Tribolium castaneum: one gene and its partners. The protein of the gene in region 1 purifies or fractionates together with the protein of each later gene. This does not show direct contact. Links are inferred from orthologs where the notes say so. Each region holds a gene or a part of one and is shown in the gene's direction. Other genes may lie near its edges.

Region 1 (4,151 bases):
TCATTTAGTTAAAATTTCGACTGGTAATTTTGCCAGGTGCGAAAAAGTCGCCCCCCGAGTTGGAGCAACAAGAAGACGAGTACTTCCAACACTACATGAAGCAATATTGTGACAAACCACCGAACGAAACCACGGGCATTCCGCGTTTTTACAATAAATTACCGAAAGAAGATGAGCCCCTAAGGCAAAAACTGCGCGAGGAGAGCCGCTCCAATTTACTGAAACGTAAAAGTCAAAACTTGTTGGATAACAACGAATTGAAGGAACTGTGGGTGATTTTGGACCAGAACCAGAGCTACCCCGAGGAACAGTTGATAACGTACTCCGATTATCAGAAGGTGGTCACGCTGGTGGGGCCCAAAGTCAAGCCCTACTTCACTTCGGTCGTGTTTGCGAAGCTCCAACAGGGTGACCCCCAGGGCAGAGTCTCGATCATGTCGCTTTTTAACTACGTGATGCGTAAAGTGTGGCTACAGCAGACCAGGATCGGGTTATCGCTGTATGATAGTACGGGACAGGGTTACTTGACTGAAATCGACTTGGAGAATTATATCACTGAGTTGTTGCCAACTTTGCCGCAACTTGAGGGACTGGAAAAGTCGTTTTATAGTTTTTACGTGTGTACGGCCGTTCGGAAATTTCTGTTTTTCCTCGATGGAGTGCGTGCGGGTCGTGTGCGGATTTTAGACATTTTAGCTTGTTCGTTCCTTGATGATTTACTCGAATTGAGGGACGAGGAGTTGAGTAAAGAGGTGCAGGAACAAAATTGGTTTAGTGCCCCTTCAACGTTACGTATTTACGGACATTATCTAAATCTTGACCGTGATCACAACGGAATGTTGAATAAATCTGAACTTGCGGGTTATGGCTCTGGGACTTTAACGCAGCCCTTTCTAGACCGCGTTTTTCAAACGCTTTTGACTTATTCCGGTGAAATGGACTACAAAACTTATCTAGATCTAGTACTAGCTTTGGAAAATCGTGCCGAACCACAAGCTCTTGCTTTTTTGTTCCGCATCTTAGACATAAATAATCAAGGCTACTTGGACTCTTTCACTTTAAATTATTTTTTCCGAGCGATTCAGGAGCAGATGAGGGCCCATGGGGCCGAAGCTGTGTCCTTTGAGGACGTTAAAGACGAACTGTTTGACATGGTCAGGCCTAAAGATCCGGAAAAAATCACCCTGAATGATTTAATCGCCTGTGGGCAAGGGGACACTTTTGTCAGTATTTTAATCGAGTTTCACCGCTTTTGGGCCTACGAGAATCGAGAGGCCGTCACGGCGGAGCCCTCCCAAGACTGATGTTACAATAAATGCAATTTTACATAATTTTCGTCCATTTTTTTCAAAAACCCGCCATTATGGACGTCAATCACGTGACAATAATCTCGAAGTGAGGTTGTGTTTACAATCCAAAAATGAGCGAAACTTGCAAAATCTGTAAATATTGCACAAATAAATTGGAAGATTGTCTCGACGAAGGCCTAACGTGCAGTTCATGTTCGCAAAGTGTTCATTTGCGGTGTCTCAAAAGTGGTTGTGTGCCTGGGGGGCTTCACGGCGATATTTTTTTCACATTCACTTGTGAGGAATGTTCGGAGGCCGGGTCCGAGTCGTTTGTTAGGGAGAAAATGTCTTGGTAATTAGAAATGTAGTAGGTATTTAGGGCGTTCCGTGGACGAGTTCTTTTAGGTTAAAAGTATTAGTTTTGGCTTTGTATCATTTGCAGTCACGAAGTCCGGGTTTGGGGCGCAAGGGGTACTTCCATTGGAGGAACCACATAGCGTCACTAATCGACAAAAACTGGGAGAGTCTGTTTTTGAAGGATTTGTAAGTTCCAACATTTGATTATCACATATTTGTAATTGTTGGTTTTTGTAGTAAAAAGAAAAAAAAATGGGTTGGGACCGTTGCTGGGACTTTATCGCACTTCAGTACGTATTTTTTCAAGTCGGGGACTTCGGTCGTTAATGAACCGGCTTGGTGGGCCCTCACCTACCCCAAACTCACCCCTAACGTAATTTCAAATTTATGTAATTGAGTGAAATAATAATTAAAAAATCAGGAGTGAAAGTATAATTCCAGATGCTGCTCTCACGAACGAGAAGCAAAAAACGAAAATTTTAAAAATATCAGTCTCAGACACTGAATTATTCACACAAATTTTACACAAAAACATCAAAGACGATGATTTGCTAACGCCTTTATTCACTGTCGATGTTCCCAACTTTTCGGAAAAAAATCCAGACGATGAAACCAATAAAAAGGTACAATTTGTTACGTTTTGAACTTACAAATCATCCATTGTTTGTAGATTACTAAAAACTTTACCGTAAATAAAAGAAAAAGTCTTTTACCAACATTTGAGAGCACGTCCAAAAAGTAAGTTTTTCTGTTCAAAGTCACAACATAACAATGCAATTCTAGACTCTTAAAAATGAATAAAAACTCGCCGGTTTTTTCAAACTTAGGTGATGAATTAACGCCAACTTATCTCAAACAAAACGAGCGAAATTTGGGCGAAGCTCAGCCACGTAATAAGCCCCCAAGTGAGCAAAATAAGGAGTCTGTGAAATTGCTCGACCCGTTTTGTCACTACAACACTTGCTTTAGCAGTAAGTCAAGTGAGAGGTGTGCAGGACTAAAGCTAGGAGGCAAGACGAGATTTTTGTAAATATTGTAAAGATTCTGATTTATTGAAAAAGTTGAGAAATTAAGTTAAGTTAAGAAAGGTCATAATTGAATAAAAAAATCTGCCCAAGTACCAATTCCAAAAGGTTATTTTGCGCTTAAAATTTGCTCGATTTTTCGTCATGCCACCAAATATTTTGGTCCCCCATAGTCCCAGGGCTTAAGAATTTACTCCAAAAATAATTTTAGACGCGTTTAGGCAGAAAGGAAGCGAAATGAGAGTCAGGTTGATGGGTGGTATCAGAAAAGAACTAATTCTCTCACCTTACAGCAGCATTTATTTAAAACCTTACATACGAAGAGATACAGAAACTTATCCATCCTGGCTACGCCTAATGGCCGAGATACAAATGAAAGCAAACGAAAAAACACAAAATTACGTTCTACCTCCAAGGGCCCCTATTGACTACACCTACGTCCAACCTGAGCACATACCTGCCATTAACAGTCTCTGCAACAACTTTTTTTGGCCAGGAATCGATCGTAAGTGTCCGAAATGTTACAACACAATTTAATTTTTTGTTGCAGTAACTGAAAGTTTGCAATATCCGGATTTTAGTTGCGTAGTTTTGTACAAAAAATTAATAGTGGCGTTTGCGTTCCTCGTCCCCAATGTTAAATACACCGAAAATTACGTCTCTTTTATTTTTACACGGCCAGGATGGCGAAACGTCGGGATTGGAAAGTTCATGTTGTATCACTTAATCCAAGTAATTGAAAAGTCGATTTTTATTAAACTAGTTGGTTAATTAATTATTTCAGACAAGTCTCGGCAAAGATATCACACTACACGTGTCCATCAACAACCCGGCCTTGTTTTTGTACCAAAAGTTCGGTTTTAAGGTGGAAGCAGTCGTTTTGAATTTTTATGATAAGTATTTACGCGAGACAAGCGAATCGAAACATGCGTTTTTCTGCCGCCTTGAGAGGTGATGTTGCTCCGAGTTGCATCGTGTTTTACGTAATTTATTGAGGCACTTTTTATTAATTTTAATAAAGTGAGAAAGAAACTAAATGCGTCGCCTTTTTGTCACTGGTGGTGTGACTGTGATTGGACTAGATTTACCACTCGAACTGGAATCGTCAGGTTTAGAGCTGCCTCTAGTAGGGCGCTTCGTCAGTTTTGGTGTGTCGTCACTTTTCGCTTTTGCCTTGTTTTCCTCCCTTGGTGTACTACTATTACTCTTACCTTTACTTTTACTCTTTTCAGCCTCTTTCTTGATTTCTTTTTTCGCACTCACTGGGGTTTTGTCCTTACTGTCTTTACTATCACGCCTTGGCACCTCCTTACTGCTCCTCACAGGAGTCTTTTCATCTTTTCGCAATTCCTTGAGCGACTTGGGCGTTTCGCGCCCTTTCTGCGCCAATTTCTTGTCCTCTTCCTTCTTCACAATGAGGGAACCGAAGTCGGAATCGGGAAGTGTGAACTCTTTCTCACTATTCGGGAACGGAATCGAC
Region 2 (3,444 bases), on another chromosome or scaffold:
GCTTGCGAGATTTGCTTGAACTTCTCCCCTTCATTGGGGTTCTTGTCGGGGTGGTATTTAAGGGCGAGTTTTCGGTAGGCTTTCTTCAGGTCGTCCTGGGTACAGCCGGGCTTAACGCCCAGGATGTCGTAGAATTTCGTCTCTTTTACCATGGTTGTAGTCCTGGAAGAAAGGGAGATGAGGATTTTCGGGGAACAAGGGAAAACTTCAAGTTACCTCAGAAATAATCAATATTTCTGGAACGGGGATTACAACTCGTGGATTTTTTAAGTTTGCACACTGACGCAGCACAAAGCAAAGACTGGTTCTAGAGCGCGTGTTCAGGGATAAAACTCCCAGCCACGAGGTTCTGGAAAATTCGACGAAGAGAAAGGTCGAAGACGTAACGAATGACGAATTCTAGAAATTGACAGGACGCCCTCTGCAGGCCTACTCGAGCTTATTTATTCGAAAAGCGGCGCCATTTAATAGAATTTTTGATTTTAAGTCACGTATTTCACTTAAAAGGTTGTACTATTGTGCCTATTTTTACTTCTTCTTAAAGTAGACGAAGACATAAAGCGATTTCTTCTGAATAACAACAACATTTGCCAAGTTATCATAAAAACAGGATTATTTTTAGACTTGTGGAAATTCTGCGCACAAATATTAATAAAACGGAAACGCAATAACAATTTCGCTGTTACTCGTAATCAGTCAATAAAAAATTATAAAAAACATTAATGGTTTTGACTTTTTGACGTTTTCTAACCCCATTTTTTTTCTAACCTTACTTTTGACAACGATGTGATTTATTAACAAAAAAATGATTTCTGAAGACTTTATTCCCACGAAGGGTTCTCTCAAGAAAAGTACACAATCCATTGATTTTAAGTCGGTGTCTTTTGAATCGTATAAGCCCAAAAAACAGGAAAAAATTGAAATTAGTAATGAAAAGCCCCAGAATAAGAAATCTGAAGATTTCAACATAAGGAGAGCGAAACACGAAATTGTTAAATTTGGAATGTCAGGATTTGACCCGGAAAAGAAGGAAGAAGCAAAAATTCAGTTAGCAATCAAATTAGGTAAACCTTTATTATTATTGTATATGTTCCTTACAAAATATAATTTCTAGGAGCAAAGCCCAAGAAAAATAAGTACAAAAACTATAAATTATTAAAGGAAGAACGGGCGAAACTTAAGCAAGAAGAAAAAACAAAGGCTCAGTTCCAGCAGTTGGGAAAAAACGCAATTGGCAAATCCACAGCTAAAGGAAAAGGTTTTGACCGGAAGCGCAAAAAGGCAAAGGGTGGATTATTAGACGTGTATGGCAAAGTGAATTTGAAAAACGCGACGAAATAAATATTTCCACATTGAATTGTTTTTTATTCAAACCTGACGCCATTTTCTAGTGACTTTTTTTGTCAACCGGCGTTGGCGCATTGACGCTTGTGATGGCGGCTGAATAAAGCAGAAATTGCTTTAAAACTTGTGACAACAATCGCAAAAAACGCTCTTTACCGGGATTTTCGCGGTTTAATTTCAGTGCCAGTGGCTTGTTGCAATTATTCAGGTTAGCAGCTTCACAAGAGTAGCATTTGGAGCACCTGAATCGCCACAAAATGATGCCTTTAGGGGGCACAGCCCCTGTCCATTCTTCGACAAACGTTGCCCCACCGGCCCCTGCCACTAACAACTCCTTGACGCCGACGGGCGGCTCTAACAAGTCCAGCAGTAACCTAGTGCGTAATTTGAACTTGAAAGAGGCGCGGGTTAATAACTGTGTTGCAGAAACCTAACTACACGCTTAAATTCACGCTAGCGGGGCACACCAAGGCGGTGTCCTCCGTTAAATTTAGCCCAAACGGCGAATGGTTGGCTAGTTCTTGTAAGTTTCAAATTGTTAGTACTTTGTCTAACTTTGGTTTTTAGCTGCGGATAAGTTAATTAAGATATGGGGCGCTTACGACGGTAAGTTTGAGAAGACAATATCAGGGCATAAGTTAGGGATAAGTGACGTGGCGTGGTCTAGCGATAGCAGATTACTTGTATCAGCAAGTGATGATAAAACTCTTAAAATCTGGGAATTATCATCAGGGAAGTGCTTGAAGACGTTAAAGGGGCACAGCAATTACGTTTTTTGTTGTAATTTTAACCCACAATCGAATTTAATCGTGTCCGGTTCGTTTGACGAATCTGTAAGAATTTGGGATGTGAGGACTGGAAAGTGTCTAAAGACACTCCCAGCGCACTCAGACCCTGTCAGTGCGGTTCATTTCAACAGAGACGGGTCTCTCATTGTCAGCAGCAGTTACGACGGACTTTGGTAAGTCGAAACTACGCTCGTCCGAAAAGAAATAATAAATTTTTAGTCGTATTTGGGACACAGCGTCCGGGCAGTGTCTGAAGACATTAATTGATGATGATAACCCCCCTGTTTCGTTCGTTAAATTCTCGCCAAACGGCAAATACATCCTAGCAGCGACTTTAGACAACACCCTCAAACTCTGGGATTACGCCAAAGGCAAATGCTTGAAAACTTACTCAGGGCATAAAAATGAGAAATACTGTATTTTTGCAAACTTTTCCGTTACCGGGGGTAAATGGATTGTGAGCGGGTCTGAGGATAATTTGGTCTACATTTGGAATTTGCAAACGAAGGAAATTGTACAAAAATTGCAAGGACACACAGGTAAATCACGCATTGTCCTTATTTTGTGTAATTGATTTTTTCAGATGTGGTGCTATGTACGACTTGCCACCCAACTGAAAATATAATCGCTTCGGCTGCTCTCGAGCACGACAAGACCATAAAGTTATGGAAAAGTGATACTTAATCCAGCTTCTACAATGTTTTCTATGAAAAATAATTTATATTTTTTTATGAGTGGCTAACGATGTAAATTTGATTCAGATTAATGTTAGGCGGTAGGAGTAGCCACAACTAATAAACCTTTGAATTTTTCCCAGTTCCTTTATTACGCAGGGAATGATACGCGTTCCAGTTTCATCATATATTCTCATAAATAAATAACATCACATTTGATCACATGTCATTTCAAAGCAGACAATACACTAGCGTTAAGTACGTTACGTATTTACATCACAGCAAGAGTAAAACATTTACAAATTGTTACACTTCATCAGAAAACTGTGTTTGGTTCTCATGTGGCTTCTGAGGGTGTCAATGCGGCTGTAAGTGGCTGGACAGTAGGGACAGAAGGACCTTTGCGCTGTGTGCGAGTGGAAGTGGTGCCACCGATTGGTCACTTCCTTACTGCAAGCTTTACATTTCCATAAGAGCAAGTTCGAGAGGGACGGCTCAAACATTTCGTTGTAAGTGAGAATGGCGCCCCCATTTTGCTCTGCTGAAACAAATTCGGATTAAATAACACAAAACCAAGCAGTGGAACAAGACTGAAATAAAACGCGGGTTTTTATATACAATTTAATGAAACAATTATT
Region 3 (4,279 bases), about 8.6 Mb from region 1:
TTTGTTTAATCGTTTAATCAAAGCAAAAATTCTGATTACAGTTCGTTAGTGAGTCAATTCCTGGTGTTGAGCGCCGACCAAAAAGATAAGTATCTCTTATTTTATTAATATAACCTCATCTTTTTGATTGGTGTTTCTTTCTATTTTAAAGGCATTGGTCTGGAGTGACGGATTTTTGATTTCTACTACTCAACTGAACTTTAGTCATGGCTGGTTATCGCAAATATTCCTGCAAATACCCCGGATGCACCAGTGATTATGTTCCCAACAAAGGACAGTCCAATAAGCATTTCTTCACCTTCCCTAAGAATCCAAAGCTTCAAGAATTGTGGAGGAATGCCTGCAAAATTGAGGATCCTGTAAGTTCAAAATTTTGGCGTTTTCGCTATTTAGGGTATTTCAGAATTTACTTTTAAGTTTCTTATTTGCGCTCGAGTGTGTCAGTGCACTGCATGTACCTCCTCGTGGTCGTAGCGTGGGCAACTGTTTGCTGACAGACAAGGTAAAAGTCATTGCAAAGCAGACCTTATTTTGTTTTAAGTCTCGAGCAGACAGGCAAAACATGCCAACACTGACTGATTTAATTTTTTTATAATTTTTGTATAATTAAGAAATAATACAATACTTTAATTTTTTGAAAAATTTAATTTGTTATGTTACTCAAGTGTACAATAAAAATGTTAACAAAATCTGTGTTTTATTACCCCAAAACAACTTTTTTTGTAAGTTTCATTTCAAATTTTGTTTAAAATAAATATAAAACGTTTTCATTTTGTTTAAAATGAAAATATATTTTTTTATTTTAAACAATTTGCAATGAAACTTGTAAGATAAAAATAATAAAAAACAATATAAAAGGAATTTATTCAAACGTGGCACTTTACCGTGGTAGTAACGCACTTCAGCACCAGAGGCGCTGGATTCTCGTGTTGCCAGTGATTTACTAGGGAATTATCACTTCTTAACCCTTTCTGTTCTGTGCTACCTGTCAATTCCTAAAACGTCTACAAACATCACGCTCTGCACAAGCGCGGCGCTAAATTTAAATAACACGATATTTTTTAATGAAATAAATTTTCAGATAGACCCAAATCGTTTTGAAACCAGAATTTTCCTGAAATATTTAAATTAAAAACCTCTATATCATTAGTTAGTTACATAATTAATAAGCAAATAATTTTTTTCATTTTAATCTAAAGACGCAAGTACTAATTAAATTCACAATCACAACCTCGTAGCAAGTTTACAAACACGTATTTAATTAAATAAATAAAAAATAGTTGCAATTTTTTAAATAGCGCCTCAAGGCCGTCGTAGTTCCAATGTGACAACACAGAGATAAGTAATCCTAACACAACATTATCTTATATAGAAAAAAAGGGAAACTTAGTGATATTATCGTTGCAATGTTAAAAACATTATCAAGCATTTTATTCCACAATTATTACTAATTAGTGAATTTTTTGTAGGTTTAATTGAATATATGTATTAGGTCGTGTGTTTCAAAAAGTAGTCTATTTGCACGGCTAACGTCAAGCACAGGCAAACAAAAATAAGTGTATTTTAAATTACGTGCATGTTATTTTGATAAAAAATTACCATTTCCATAATTAGTAGTTTATTGTAAAGTACAATACATAAAAGTTACCCCCGCAGTGCGACTTGTGCCCTTTTCCCTGGCAGTGCATCAAACAGTCAAATCAATGTTTTTTGATTTAATTGAAATAAACATTTCCACTAGAACCGTGTGTAGAATAGTCAGTGATTACTAAAGTGTATACTTTTGCTCTATTTTGGGCGTTTCAGGTACTCGTCACTTTAGTGTTGCTTTGCTGGTACCACGTTGTGCTTGTAGACAGGCACTTCAGGAACCCATATTTCTGCGGTGAATTTTAATTGCACTATTAAAATGCCCTTTAGTGCAGACGCAATCGCAGCGCAAAAAGTTCAGGAGCACTTGAAGTCGCTCTATCACACGGTTCATGAGATTGAGAAGAAACGCCAACAGAGTGAACAAGGAATAAACAACATTGTTAAGTTTCAAAATGGGCAAGACGAGAAGTCCAGCCAACATTATCAGGTGTGGATTTTCTGGCATTCGCAAAATATTTTGAGGCATTTTCCGAAAAAATAACAGTAATTTGGGGCCAACATTTTTATGTGTGTATCAGTGTGATTTGTTTTCTTCTTTGTGTCAACGACATTTGGTCCCTTTACCTCGGTCTTGTTCTCAGCGGCAATCGTTACCTAATAATTATGCTACAAATAAAAGTACTGATTTCACTGCAACTTACAGTTAAAATTGTTAAAACGTAAATAATTACAATGGCTTTTAAGATCTTTGATGACATTTTTCTGATCTTTGGCGGCTTACGGTGCCCTGGAAACGCTAAATTAAAAAAAATCGCCTTTGAACCACCTTTTAAAGCTCAATTGTGTTTCAAGTAAATATTTTTGTTTACGTGAATTTAAAGAATTCCATTGTTTCGATTCAATAAGAGTTTATATGATTACTGTAATGATTATATATTGTAGATGAAGCTAAAGAGCCTCTACAAGTCCTCAATTTCGCACGCCGAGCAAGAGGAGGATTTGCTCCGTCAAGCTCTTCAAAAAATTGCGGAAATCCGCAACATTAAGAACGAACGGAGAATTCAAACGAGACATGCTGGAAACAAAGAATCGATTCGTAGGGGCACTTGGATGAAGATGTTAATGAGTTCGGCACAAACATTGCCCCTTTTCGTCGGTAAAATAGACGAAAAACCTCCTGCTCTCTGTGGTGCCACACCTGCTGACTCTGGCTATGTGGCAAAAGTGGGCGATATGGTGGCTGCTTTGGTTAAAATTCCTGATGGAGATGGCGAAAACTGGATATTGGCTGAAGTGTACAGTTATAATCACGCCTCAAATAAGTACGAAGTTGATGATATTTTGGCGGAGCAGAATCAGAAACGGCGACATACTTTGAGCAAGAGAAATGTGGTACCGTTACCCCTAATGCGGGCTAATCCCGAGACTGATCCAACGGCCTTGTTTCCACAAGGAACTGTCGGTAAGTGGAGTTACAACGAACTTCCTCCTGTTTCAAGCACCGATTATGGCAAAACTCTTCGGAAAATTGAAACTATTTTAAAGTTGTCTTTGTAAAATGCTCTGGGAAATCGCTTGGCGTCAAGAAAATGACCAGATTCTTAATAATTTTTAAGATATATTTTTTACACTGTTTGCGATTTTTTTTAAAACTGTTAATCGCAGAACAATGGTCTTTTTTGTAAAAAGAAACAGATTATTAAGAGCTATCCAACGATTATACACTTATTAGGGTTTCGGCTAGTATTTCTGGAATTATTGCCCGATGAATGTCACAAACGTGTTGAAACATTCGGTGGTATGTTAGCACAAAAAAAATCTATGTAAATTTTTTACATTTTTATAATTATTTTATGGGATGTCTCGTGGTTTTTTTGTGTCTGTTTTTGCTAATAATTTTTACTCAGTGTAGTAGATTCCTCAGAGATCATATTTGTTTAAAATTTTTATTAGTAAAGTTTAAAATTGCTCGCCAAATTTAAATTTATTCGCCATCGCCGACGAAAATTCAGAAACCACAAATATTCGGATAATGCAAGTTGAGTTCTTTTGAGCTCTACTCACATTCCTTAAAATATTTGCACAACTATCAAATTATTACTTTTTCGCAAAGGATTAATGTTTTTTTACAATTCTTTCTTATTTCGTCTTATTTGACAAATGATATAAAGCAAAAATAACAGCTAAAAAGACACTCTTTGTTAATTTATCTCTTCTAATGACCTCGGATATAACGAACGGATTTTGACACATTTTCTGAGTTCGTTATAACCGGACACCACGTAAATTAAAATGTTGGTTTTGCGTTTCAGTTATGGCTCTATACCCAACTACGAGTTGCTTCTATAAAGGCATTGTGAACAAGCCTCCCGCAACACATACTGATGAATATGAGATTTTGTTTGAAGACGCTGCGTATCCTGAAGGCTACAGCCCGCCCCTGTATGTGGCCCAACGCTACGTCATTGCCATAAAACAGAAGACAAAGCAAGCCTGACATTATCTTTCAGACACTATGTCTGATTCTGAAGCTTCAAGTTTTATGGAATAATTTATTGGGTAGTAAACATTCGAGAAACTTTCATTTTGTGTTATATTTCACCAATTTATTATTCATCTTTACATGTACATGAATTTTTTTTACATTTTTGTTATTTTCTAATCTAACTTTTAAAAAAATGGAACT
Region 4 (3,676 bases), on another chromosome or scaffold:
CCGCAAGTCTTTTAACTTTACGTAAATTTAATTCTTTGGCATTTTTTTCCAAATAATCAAGCGCCTACAATTAACTGCATAACAACTACAAAAATGAAGAAAAAAAATTACAGATTCGCTCCCCGAGATGACTTTACAATGGGGGTACAAATAATTGGCAATTTGACATTCGGGCATTAAGTCGCCTTTATCAGTTGCCCATTCCTTGGCTTTGACTAGTGCCTGGTTTAACTTCGTGTCAGGACCGTACATTACTGTGACCATCCCCCCCTTGTACGCCTCACTAGCCAATTGCATTGCTTCCCCCCGAATTTGCACCAATCGTAACCCTTAAAAAATTCCAAATAAAATTCAATTTTTTGCCAACTGGTTGTAAAATAAACCTCGCTCAAAACCAATCGCCCCCGCAAACACTAACGCTGTAATTTCCCCCAAACTGAACCCTGCTGTCCCCACACAACTCTCAATAGCCCTAGGTCTCTCCTCTTTCAGTCGTTCAATTGCCGCTAAAGAACTGACCATTATTGCCGGTTGACTATATTTTGTTTGGTCCAATTTGTCTTTGGGACCCTCAAGACACAATTTTAACAAATCGTACTTTAAAATATAATTCGCTAACTCAAACAAATCCCTAGCCATGGGGTACTTGAGCAAGTCATTGCACATACCGACAAATTGGCTCCCCTGACCGGGAAATAAAATTATCGAGGACTCGCGTGGATCATATTTAGGTTTTTCGATAAATGAGACACCCTGTTTGCGAATTTTGGTGCCTTGAGGGTATGGCAAAGTAGCCCATTGTTGTTCTTGTGTCTGGGGGTGCAAGTCTTCAAAGGTTGCTGATTCGTCGAGGAGTTTCTTTAGGGGAGATTCTTGCGTTTTTTTCTCATCACAGTTACGATTTGAGGACAGGGAGAAGGGGCGAAGCCCTACCAAAACACGATCGCAGTCTTTCAGAAAATTTCGTGTAATAATTTTAGTAAACATCATGGTATAATTAAACTGTTAATCAAGCAAAACACACAAAACTAATTCAAATAAAAACACATTTTAATGATTCAACTTAACCTCGAATGTCAAGTTGCGACCATATGACCGATTGTTCGCCCAATCTAAACTTTAATCCAAGACGCCAAATTTATCACCACTGATGCAAACTACTCTACTTGAGCTAGCTTTAAGGAAAATTAACGAAAATGAAGATCGGACGGAACCACTTTCGTAAATTTGGTCTTGTTTAAGGTTGTCAAAAGTAAGGTTACAGGTCAGCTGTCAATTTCACGTGTGTAGTGTTTATTTCTTGTATTTTTTTGTAAATTAAGTTATACGAGAGTGAATTGTGTAATATCTAGTCAATTTTTTACAAACAAAATGACAAATACGCAAGAATCGGACATAAATCCTGAAGAAGATTTGTACTATTTCGAAACGGATCACTTGGCTTTGAGAGGAAATAAGGACTATAGTGAGGTTCTTAAAAACTTGCTCATTCTGTGTGCTCAGAGAAAACAAGCAATAAAGGTAAAGTTGTGTGAATTTAGTTACGTTTCGATTAAAAAAGTCTTCAGGACTATAACAAAGCAGTAGAATTGAAGAAAGAAGCACTGGCAGACCCGGCCAAAGTCTTGGAGAAAATTATAAAAGGGGAGTCTTTGGGAATGCCAGATATGCACCGCATGCCTGAAGTAATTACAATTTTTTTGAGATTTTTTTCACCTAATTACATTAGAGAACAAAATATAATTTTTAATAAAGCAAGGAATATTTTGTTCATTTGGTGCATTTTAGTTGCCGGTTATTGACTGGTCAAAGTACGATATTAAAATCCCGGAGGAAAGTTTCAAATTGATTTATTCAGACGGTTCTGAGACTGTTAAGAAAAAACCCGAAACGCCGAAAAAAGAAACGAAAATTTCACATGGGGTAACACATTTTGTAAAATCGGTTCAAATAAAATTGCTTGATTCTATAGAAATGGACAACAGAAGAGCAGAAACGTTTAGAAGAATTGCTCCAAATTTATCCGCCTGAACCGGTTGAAATGAGACGGTTTAAAAAAATCGCTGATGCTTTAGGTAATTAATTAGGCGAAAAATATTAAAACTTGGTTAAATTTTCTTAGGTAATCGAACAATTCAGCAAGTCACGAGCCGAATTCAGAAATATTTTGTGAAATTGTACAAAGCTGGATTGCCAATTCCTGGCCGAATTCCAAAATCTGCCGAAAAACACAAAGTGAATTTACATTATTTTAAGGCACCAAAAAATTATTTTTTTGTAGAGAACGTCATTACATAAGCACCAGCGTCACAATCATTATTTATGGAAACCTACAACTTTTTTCCCCGATTTATGTGTTCCTGTAGTAATGAATGACTTGGATAATGTTCCTGGACCTAGTTCGAAAATTACAGATGAGATACAGCCTTCTACAAGTTCCAATTATCTCATACCTTCGGTTTATCACCAGGAGAGTGAGATTTTGCCCCAAAAAAGTGACAGTGAGTTACAGCTGGAACTTTTAAAACGGATACGAAAAGTTAAAATTAGGGAGAATGAGAGTGGGTCTAATTTCCAACACGTGGGATTTAAAGTAAAAAATAATAATAATTTAGCCAATTTTTTGGTGATTTATTTTCTTATAGTGTGATTATTGCAACGATGAACCAATAATTGGCACCAGATGGCATTGTAACACTTGCAAAAATGACTCAATTGATTTTTGTACAGACTGTGTTTTAACACAAATTTATTCCGATAATAGCCACCCTTTAAACCACAATTTAATCGCATGTGGTGATAGAGAAATTGAAAGTGATTCAGAGTCAAATAGTGGCAGTTTGGATCAAAATAACGAATCAAGTGATGAAGAAATGAGCGATATTTCGGATAATGTCAAGGACCAAGTGATGGCAAACGGAATGGACGAAAGCGAGAAAATTGATAATAAAAATCAAAGTGAAGAAATGCCAAAGTTGGAGTTTGGTAATTATGGTAATGACGAGTTTGTGGACGGACTTGGGTCCGATTTGTTCAGCGAAATTGAAAATCTTTCATACGATTATTTGCACTCGAATTTGTTGCTTGATAAGGATTGAACGTTTTGTTGTTGAAGATTTTATTTATTTATTGCCTTTGTTTGTATGTAAATTTGTGATTGCAATGAAAAGTTTTTTTATATGTTAGCTTTTCGTTTAACCCTTCAGAGCTCTCCTGAAAATCGACGTGATAACGTAACAAAAATCAATGAATAAAACTTTGTTTACAGCTTTGCAAAAATTAGTTACCTTTTTGTTGATCATTTATCTTAATTCTTACATAACTTTTTTAATATTATTCAGTGCGTGTTGTGAATTTTTGCGTGCTTTTAATACGCATTTATTGAAAGTGTTTTTTTTGGTCAAATATTTCGAATTTTCAGAGTTTACTCATAATTTTTTGTAAATAATGCATTCTAGACCTGATTAAGTGATTTCCTCCGTTGTTTTTACAAATTTCCTAAAATTTATTGATTTTTTTAGACTTAATTCTACAATTTTTTACCTATAGTTTAAGCAAAATCTTTCCAGTTTTTTTTTAAATTCCATTGAAAAACAGTTTTAAACAAAATTCTACAAGTTGAATTTAATTTATTCACTGCAACTAATTTATTTAACGTATCACTGACAACTTGACT
Region 5 (3,570 bases), about 1.1 Mb from region 1:
TATAAATCGGGATTAAATTCTCCTCCAAATCCCTACGAGACTTAAAAATTTTGGCCAACTTTTGGACGACTTACCAGACTTGTAACCGCCCGCTGAAGTCGCCAGTCGCAAGGTGGCGGTCTCTTAAACTCGAGGCGTGAAACGTGCCGCATTTAAAGTGGTCTTTCTTGCCGAATTCGGCCACTTTTTCGATCCCATCACCACTGATTGAGTAGGTCTCGATAATTCCAGCCCCGTTTGATTTGCCCCCGATTGAGACGAATTTCGCGGAACAGGGGATCCACTTGACGTCGTGGACGGTGTAGTTCAGGGCTTGCTGCACGTGGCAGATTATTTGGGGCCTTTGGAGCGACTCCATAACGTTTGATTGATCAAACAATTGTTGTCATAGCAAAGCGCATTTTCGGGGGCAATAATTGCCCAAGTTTAAATAAAACAAGCTGTTCTCGTTACGTTTTTAATTATTTTGTTTTTTTTTTTCACCCCCGTTATATCCTGCAATGTTCTTTATTTTTGCAGGAAATTAAGCCCTTCGTTAGGGCCTTCGACTGTAAAAAATCATGTTCGGACAAACAGCCATTGGGACCTTTTTTTACGGCTGTAAAAAAACAATTAGCAATACATTTAAGGATTGCTCTAATTAGTCAAATTATTAACTAATTTGTCCAGCAAATTAGGTTTAGAGCATTCTTGTCAGGAAAAAAGGAAACAGCTTCCAAAGCATTCGAAAAAAAGATTTTTAATTGCATTTTATTCGTAAGAAAGTGAGGTTAAAAATTTGACAACTTGCGCTCTAAATATGTCGTTTCAAATATAAACAGAGTAGTGATAAAAGTAATTATTTTGCTTCAATTCGGTGATTATGTAAGCGCAACAACACTATGATATGTTAGTGACCGTCAAAGTGTTGTTTTTCGCTAAATCGAGAGAAATCGTGGGCCAAAAATCCGCCGAACTTGACCTGCCGTCCCCCATCTCCTACAAAAAGCTTTTAGAAACACTCGTCGGCACGTATTTTTTGGCCGAAATTGCCCAAAACATTATTCTCTCCCTCAATGAGGAGTTTTGCGACGTGGAAAGTGTCGAAATTGTGTTAAAACAGGGCGACGAAGTAGCAATAATCCCACCTCTGAGTGGCGGTTAGGGCCCCAAAATGAATTTTTTGAAATTCACCGAAGACAAGCTAAGTGTTGAGGCGTTGACTGATCTAGTCGCCTCGCCGAAATGTGGCGCAGTCTCGGTTTTTATGGGGACCACCAGAGACAGTTTCGGGGAAAAAACCGTCCTTAAATTGGAGTACGAGGCGTACGAAGCCATGGCTTTGAAGTGTCTCGAAAAAGTGTGCGGGGAGATCAGGGCCAAGTGGCCTCAAGTCGAAAATATCGCAATCTATCACAGGTTTGAAAAATTTAAATTGGGGCCAAATTTTGATTTTTTTTTGTTTAACAGACTGGGGGTTGTGGGGGTCAAGGAGGCTAGCATTGTAATTGCAATCGCGTCCCCCCACCGTACCGAGGCGCTGCAAGCCACCGACTGGTGCATCAACAAGGTTAAAGAGAGTGTGCCTATTTGGAAAAAGGAGATTTACGCTGAAACTGAAACTCCTCCACAGTGGAAGGAAAATAAAGAATGTGGGTGGTCAAGTAAATAAAGTCTAAAATTGATTGGCTCTCATTTATAGCCCCCAAACCGAAAAAATTCAAGCTCGAAATCGAGCCCAAAGTCGAAATTCCCAACGTTTCGCCCCATTTGATTCAAATCAAGGCCTCAAACGCGGACTTGAGCAAACGAATCGAGAATTTTATGGAGATGAAGCGAAACGAAATCAACATAAGCAATGTGAGAGAGTTTTGCACAAGTAATCGAAGTTCAGAGTTCACTTGCGCCCGAGTCGATGCGGTTTTGCAAAAACGCAAAGACTCCAATGGCCATTTGCAAGGTTCGTGGCCCTTAAAAAATCACAATTTTACGATTTTTATTCCAATTTTTACAAGTCTGCTAAAAGTATACAACTGCACAGGGTTATTCTATTTGGCACCAGACATTTTTCATTAATGTTTAGAGAACACATTTTTATCTGAAAATAAAAAAATTAACGAAAAAATTAAGACTTTACGGACAGGACACAAATGTGCCGAGCATGACCTCCTTGATGTATGCAGACAACTTCGTTAAAAATAATACATCAAGGAGGCCATGGCGCCGAGTAAAAATTGACTGAAAAAAAAGAGCAAAGAAACTGCACGGTCAACACGAGAAATATATTTTTAACAGACTAACCCTCTATAAATTTAGCAAAAAATGTCGGGGAAAAGTGCTACTTTTCGGACGATTTTCGAAAAACAAGTATTTCAGACTAATTTTTTTGCAGTAAGTCGGGTTTTGAACACTTACCACCGCGACCAAACAAATTCGGACTACCTGACCAAATACATCCCCCAAAACGGCATTGAGGAGCGCCTCCAAAACCTGGAAATCCAACTCAGTTTGACCACCCCAACCCCGAAAAATATCTACACCCGTTTGAAGAAACTAGAAGACCGGATATTGTTCCTTGAAACGATTTCGCCCGAATATATCAATTTTTGGGTAAGCTTTTTGAGAGATTTCCCTCCCTTTTTAGTGAAATTTTTAGGACAAAAGCCACTTAAACAATAGATTTGTGAAGAAGAAGGTTTTCTCAGTTGAGGAAATCGATTCGCTAATTAGCGATTTGGAGCGGAAGGTTCAGGAGGAGAAAAAATAAATCTGTTTTTAGTTTATTATTATTATTAAAAAATAAATTACGTAAATATTGTCGGGTCGGTAAACCTGGCCGTGAAAATGTAAAAAAAAGCCGGCAGTGGGACCAACAGTAGCAACAATGAGTGAAAAGTCGGGTCACTAAGCTGAGTTATTGAAATTAAACCATAGGCGTGTAAACACCAATGGCCCACTAAGATTACCACATTTCTCGGGTCTACAACTGTTGTTATGATGAGTGAGGGAATCGATTGGTTGATTTTGAGGGCAAAGTGATAAGCACACGAAATAACTGACAAAATAACGACCAAAATTGGGAACGCATAATCTGGAACAAAACCAATCAAAAGTGTGATTTTTGGCGCAATCATTACGTACAAAGAAGTCCCCCAATTAGGGCATGGACCACCACCAAAATCGGTATATAGTACATGGCGGCATAAATCGACATTTTGCTCTGCCTTGGAAGGTATTTCCGGCAAACCCATGGCCTTATCAAAAGCATAACAATCAAAGTCAGGGCATAAAAAATAAAAACTAGCGTATACCTAAAACAAAAACACTCAATAAAGTAGTATAATCAATTAGTAGCCCTACAAGGGATACACAGCCTCCTGGGTACAATGCACCCTCTTCTCATAATCCGGGGCCGGATTATGCAACAAAGTGTACCAATCGGCCAAGCTGCGCACTCTGCAGTTCCGCACCTGGAACTCGCCGAACGGGTGCGTGAAAAGCACCGACAAGAGCCCCGAAATGACCACTTCCACCAGCGCAGTCAAGTGTAAAATTAGGACGTCTTTTTTGAAGCTACAACGAACAGTGAAG
Region 6 (2,365 bases), on another chromosome or scaffold:
ATTTCGGGGTGAAATGGGGCGAAAACTGCAATAGTGCATTTGCGGAGCTGGAAAACATAACAATTTTTAACATTGTTCCGACAACTAAAAGGCCATAATTTTATTTTTAAAAAACGTCTTTTTTATTGTTGAATTGGTGGTCAAAAGGGCATTGTGTGACAAAACCGATTTCGGGGTGAAATGGGGCGAAAACTGCAATAATGCATTTGCGGAGCTGGAAAACATAACAATTTTTAACATTGTTCCGACAACTAAAAGGCCATAATTTTATTTTTAAAAAACGTCTTTTTTATTGTTGAATTGGTGGTCAAAAGGGCATTATGTGACAAAACCGATTTCGGGGTGAAATGGGGCGAAAACTGCAATAATGCATTTGCGGAGCTGGAAAACATAACAATTTTTAACATTGTTCCGACAACTAAAAGGCCATAATTTTATTTTTAAAAAACGTCTTTTTTATTGTTGAATTGGTGGTCAAAAGGGCATTATGTGACAAAACCGATTTCGGGGTGAAATGGGGCGAAAACTGCAATAGTGCATTTGCGGAGCTGGAAAACATAACAATTTTTAACATTGTTCCGACAACTAAAAGGCCATAATTTTATTTTTAAAAAACGTCTTTTTTATTGTTGAATTGGTGGTCAAAAGGGCATTGTGTGACAAAACCGATTTCGGGGTGAAATGGGGCGAAAACTGCAACAGTGCATTTGCGGAGCTGGGCAACATAACAATTTTTAACATTGTTCCGACAACTAAAAGGCCATAATTTTATTTTTAAAAAACGTCTTTTTTATTGTTGAATTAGTGGTCAAAAGGGCATTGTGTGACAAAACCGATTTCGGGGTGAAATGGGGCGAAAACTACAATAATGCATTTGCGGAGCCATAAATATTGAAATTAGGTGAAAAAGTGGGAAAAATTAAAAAGCAATTTGTGGTAAATAATTGAGTTTTTCGCTATTAGCATAGTGACTTTCTTAAAATGTCATTTTTAAGAGGGTGTTTAGTGTTTTTTCGGATTTTTATTTTATTAAACGGTTTCAAAGCTGACAACCAAACATACATCTAAGCAAACTGAAACTTATTTTGCTAGTCTGAAACTGGCTTCATGTTCGGGTCTCTTCGGAAATTCGAGGAGCTGGTTTTGGGAGCTGTCTTCACACAAATGACGATCTGTCATTTCGCGGACTCTAACAGCATTATCCTTGACATGTCAAATTGTTCCAGCTGTCCCTATTTGAGGTTAAATATCTCTTTTTTGTTGATAAATATAACAATTTACAATGTCTAATCAAAATAATGCTGGTGGTTTAACAAATACCGAAGACGATGAGCTGACTTTGCCTCGGGCTAGCATTAACAAAATGATAAAGGAGTTAGTCCCATCAGTTCGAGTTGCAAATGAAGCAAGGGAATTAATCCTCAACTGTTGTACGGAATTTATCCATTTGCTTAGTTCTGAAGCGAACGAAATATGTAATCGATTGGACAAAAAGACTATAAATGCGGAACACGTTTTGATGGGTATGTTTCATCATTGTTAAACAACACAAAAGTAAAGTTTTTCGCAGCTTTAGAAAAGTTGGGTTTTGGAGATTATCAAACCGAAGCTGAAGCTGTTCTTAAGGACTGTAAGGCTGTTGCAGCGAAACGCAGGCGACAGAGCACAAGGTTAGAAAATTTGGGAATACCAGAAGAGGAGTTGTTGAGACAACAGCAGGAGTTGTTCGCCAAGGCTAGGCAAGAGCAGGCTTTTGTGGAGCAACAGCAATGGGAGCAACTACAAGCTGCGGCACAAGCCCAAGCTTCGGCTCTACCAAACAATGATGATGATTACGAATGATTTATTAAACGCTTTAAATATTTTGTTATTGTTTTCATTTATTTTTTAATATCTTAGATTTAGGCTTTGTATCAACCACAAACATTCAATAAATAGTGACCCAACGTTTTTTACAAGAAAATTATTCATCTGCAATCTTATGCGTACGAAGTCTAAACAGGATAAAATAACCAATTTCCTAACGCTGAAAAACACTCATTATTACAGTCTTGGTAATGTAGTCCCTGTAAATAATTAAGTAATAAAAATAATTATTAAATAAATGGAAAAAAAACCTTTAAAACTAAGCGCCAACTAAGTGCCAACGTAACATGTTTGCCATGTTTTGATCTTGGCAACACTTTTTTCATTGAAATATCCCCAAGATAATGTCATTTTCTAATAGAAAAAAAGTTATTTAATTTCCATTTAGCACGTAACCGCAGAACAATTTTTATATTTAATACAAAAATAGTTTTTTTGATAAGCAAACTAGAGATACAAAAAGGCGCAAAGCTGCCGTACATTGAGGTTATGTGAATGA

The links.
Region 2: the proteins of Atac2 (region 1) and wds purify together in Drosophila melanogaster (affinity purification with mass spectrometry; 4 studies listed by BioGRID). This does not show direct contact. The link is inferred for Tribolium castaneum from reciprocal best matches to the Drosophila melanogaster genes Atac2 and wds.
Region 3: the proteins of Atac2 (region 1) and Sgf29 purify together in Drosophila melanogaster (affinity purification with mass spectrometry; 5 studies listed by BioGRID). This does not show direct contact. The link is inferred for Tribolium castaneum from reciprocal best matches to the Drosophila melanogaster genes Atac2 and Sgf29.
Region 4: the proteins of Atac2 (region 1) and Atac1 purify together in Drosophila melanogaster (affinity purification with mass spectrometry; 4 studies listed by BioGRID). This does not show direct contact. The link is inferred for Tribolium castaneum from reciprocal best matches to the Drosophila melanogaster genes Atac2 and Atac1.
Region 5: the proteins of Atac2 (region 1) and Mocs2B purify together in Drosophila melanogaster (affinity purification with mass spectrometry; 4 studies listed by BioGRID, with this or other methods). This does not show direct contact. The link is inferred for Tribolium castaneum from reciprocal best matches to the Drosophila melanogaster genes Atac2 and Mocs2B.
Region 6: the proteins of Atac2 (region 1) and NC2beta purify together in Drosophila melanogaster (affinity purification with mass spectrometry; 4 studies listed by BioGRID). This does not show direct contact. The link is inferred for Tribolium castaneum from reciprocal best matches to the Drosophila melanogaster genes Atac2 and NC2beta.

The regions. Positions count from the first base shown.
Region 1 is NC_087396.1:22,635,646-22,639,796, forward strand, and holds Atac2 (cysteine-rich protein 2-binding protein), read left to right. Parts: upstream 1-1,351; 5' UTR 1,352-1,420; coding exon 1,421-1,641; intron 1,642-1,694; coding exon 1,695-1,832; intron 1,833-1,883; coding exon 1,884-2,035; intron 2,036-2,087; coding exon 2,088-2,269; intron 2,270-2,316; coding exon 2,317-2,384; intron 2,385-2,429; coding exon 2,430-2,617; intron 2,618-2,882; coding exon 2,883-3,176; exon of another isoform or gene 3,177-3,221; coding exon 3,222-3,403; exon of another isoform or gene 3,404-3,455; coding exon 3,456-3,626; 3' UTR 3,627-3,703; downstream 3,704-4,151. Other genes in the region: serine/threonine-protein phosphatase 2A regulatory subunit B'' subunit gamma, read left to right, coding at 37-1,304; MrgBP (MRG/MORF4L-binding protein), read right to left, coding at 3,704-4,151.
Region 2 is NC_087397.1:5,874,508-5,877,951, reverse strand, and holds wds (WD repeat-containing protein 5), read left to right. Parts: upstream 1-1,403; 5' UTR 1,404-1,601; coding exon 1,602-1,721; intron 1,722-1,770; coding exon 1,771-1,867; intron 1,868-1,911; coding exon 1,912-2,305; intron 2,306-2,351; coding exon 2,352-2,671; intron 2,672-2,715; coding exon 2,716-2,816; 3' UTR 2,817-2,944; downstream 2,945-3,444. Other genes in the region: Droj2 (dnaJ homolog subfamily A member 1), read right to left, coding at 1-152.
Region 3 is NC_087396.1:14,033,249-14,037,527, reverse strand, and holds Sgf29 (SAGA-associated factor 29), read left to right. Parts: upstream 1-1,479; 5' UTR 1,480-1,757; intron 1,758-1,806; 5' UTR 1,807-1,909; coding exon 1,910-2,080; intron 2,081-2,535; coding exon 2,536-3,055; intron 3,056-3,905; coding exon 3,906-4,090; 3' UTR 4,091-4,177; downstream 4,178-4,279. UniProt on the Drosophila melanogaster protein: Component of both the SAGA and CHAT histone acetyltransferase complexes, which both predominantly acetylate histone H3.
Region 4 is NC_087394.1:37,104,129-37,107,804, reverse strand, and holds Atac1 (ZZ-type zinc finger-containing protein 3), read left to right. Parts: upstream 1-1,186; 5' UTR 1,187-1,371; coding exon 1,372-1,521; intron 1,522-1,568; coding exon 1,569-1,685; intron 1,686-1,788; coding exon 1,789-1,923; intron 1,924-1,972; coding exon 1,973-2,075; intron 2,076-2,122; coding exon 2,123-2,235; intron 2,236-2,281; coding exon 2,282-2,593; intron 2,594-2,645; coding exon 2,646-3,098; 3' UTR 3,099-3,176; downstream 3,177-3,676. Other genes in the region: beg (probable malonyl-CoA-acyl carrier protein transacylase, mitochondrial), read right to left, coding at 1-64, 112-329, 384-990.
Region 5 is NC_087396.1:21,505,905-21,509,474, forward strand, and holds Mocs2B (molybdopterin synthase catalytic subunit), read left to right. Parts: upstream 1-1,153; coding exon 1,154-1,398; intron 1,399-1,449; coding exon 1,450-1,631; intron 1,632-1,681; coding exon 1,682-1,939; intron 1,940-2,371; coding exon 2,372-2,589; intron 2,590-2,635; coding exon 2,636-2,746; 3' UTR 2,747-2,783; downstream 2,784-3,570. Other genes in the region: Wdr92 (dynein axonemal assembly factor 10), read right to left, coding at 1-32, 75-358; Mocs2A (molybdopterin synthase sulfur carrier subunit), read left to right, coding at 887-1,144; JNK1/MAPK8-associated membrane protein, read right to left, coding at 2,784-3,070, 3,121-3,290, 3,340-3,552. UniProt on the Drosophila melanogaster protein: Catalytic subunit of the molybdopterin synthase complex, a complex that catalyzes the conversion of precursor Z into molybdopterin.
Region 6 is NC_087398.1:1,910,307-1,912,671, reverse strand, and holds NC2beta (protein Dr1), read left to right. Parts: upstream 1-1,163; 5' UTR 1,164-1,282; coding exon 1,283-1,523; intron 1,524-1,570; coding exon 1,571-1,842; 3' UTR 1,843-1,865; downstream 1,866-2,365. UniProt on the Drosophila melanogaster protein: Bifunctional basic transcription factor. Activates transcription of DPE (Downstream Promoter Element) containing promoters while repressing transcription of promoters which contain TATA elements.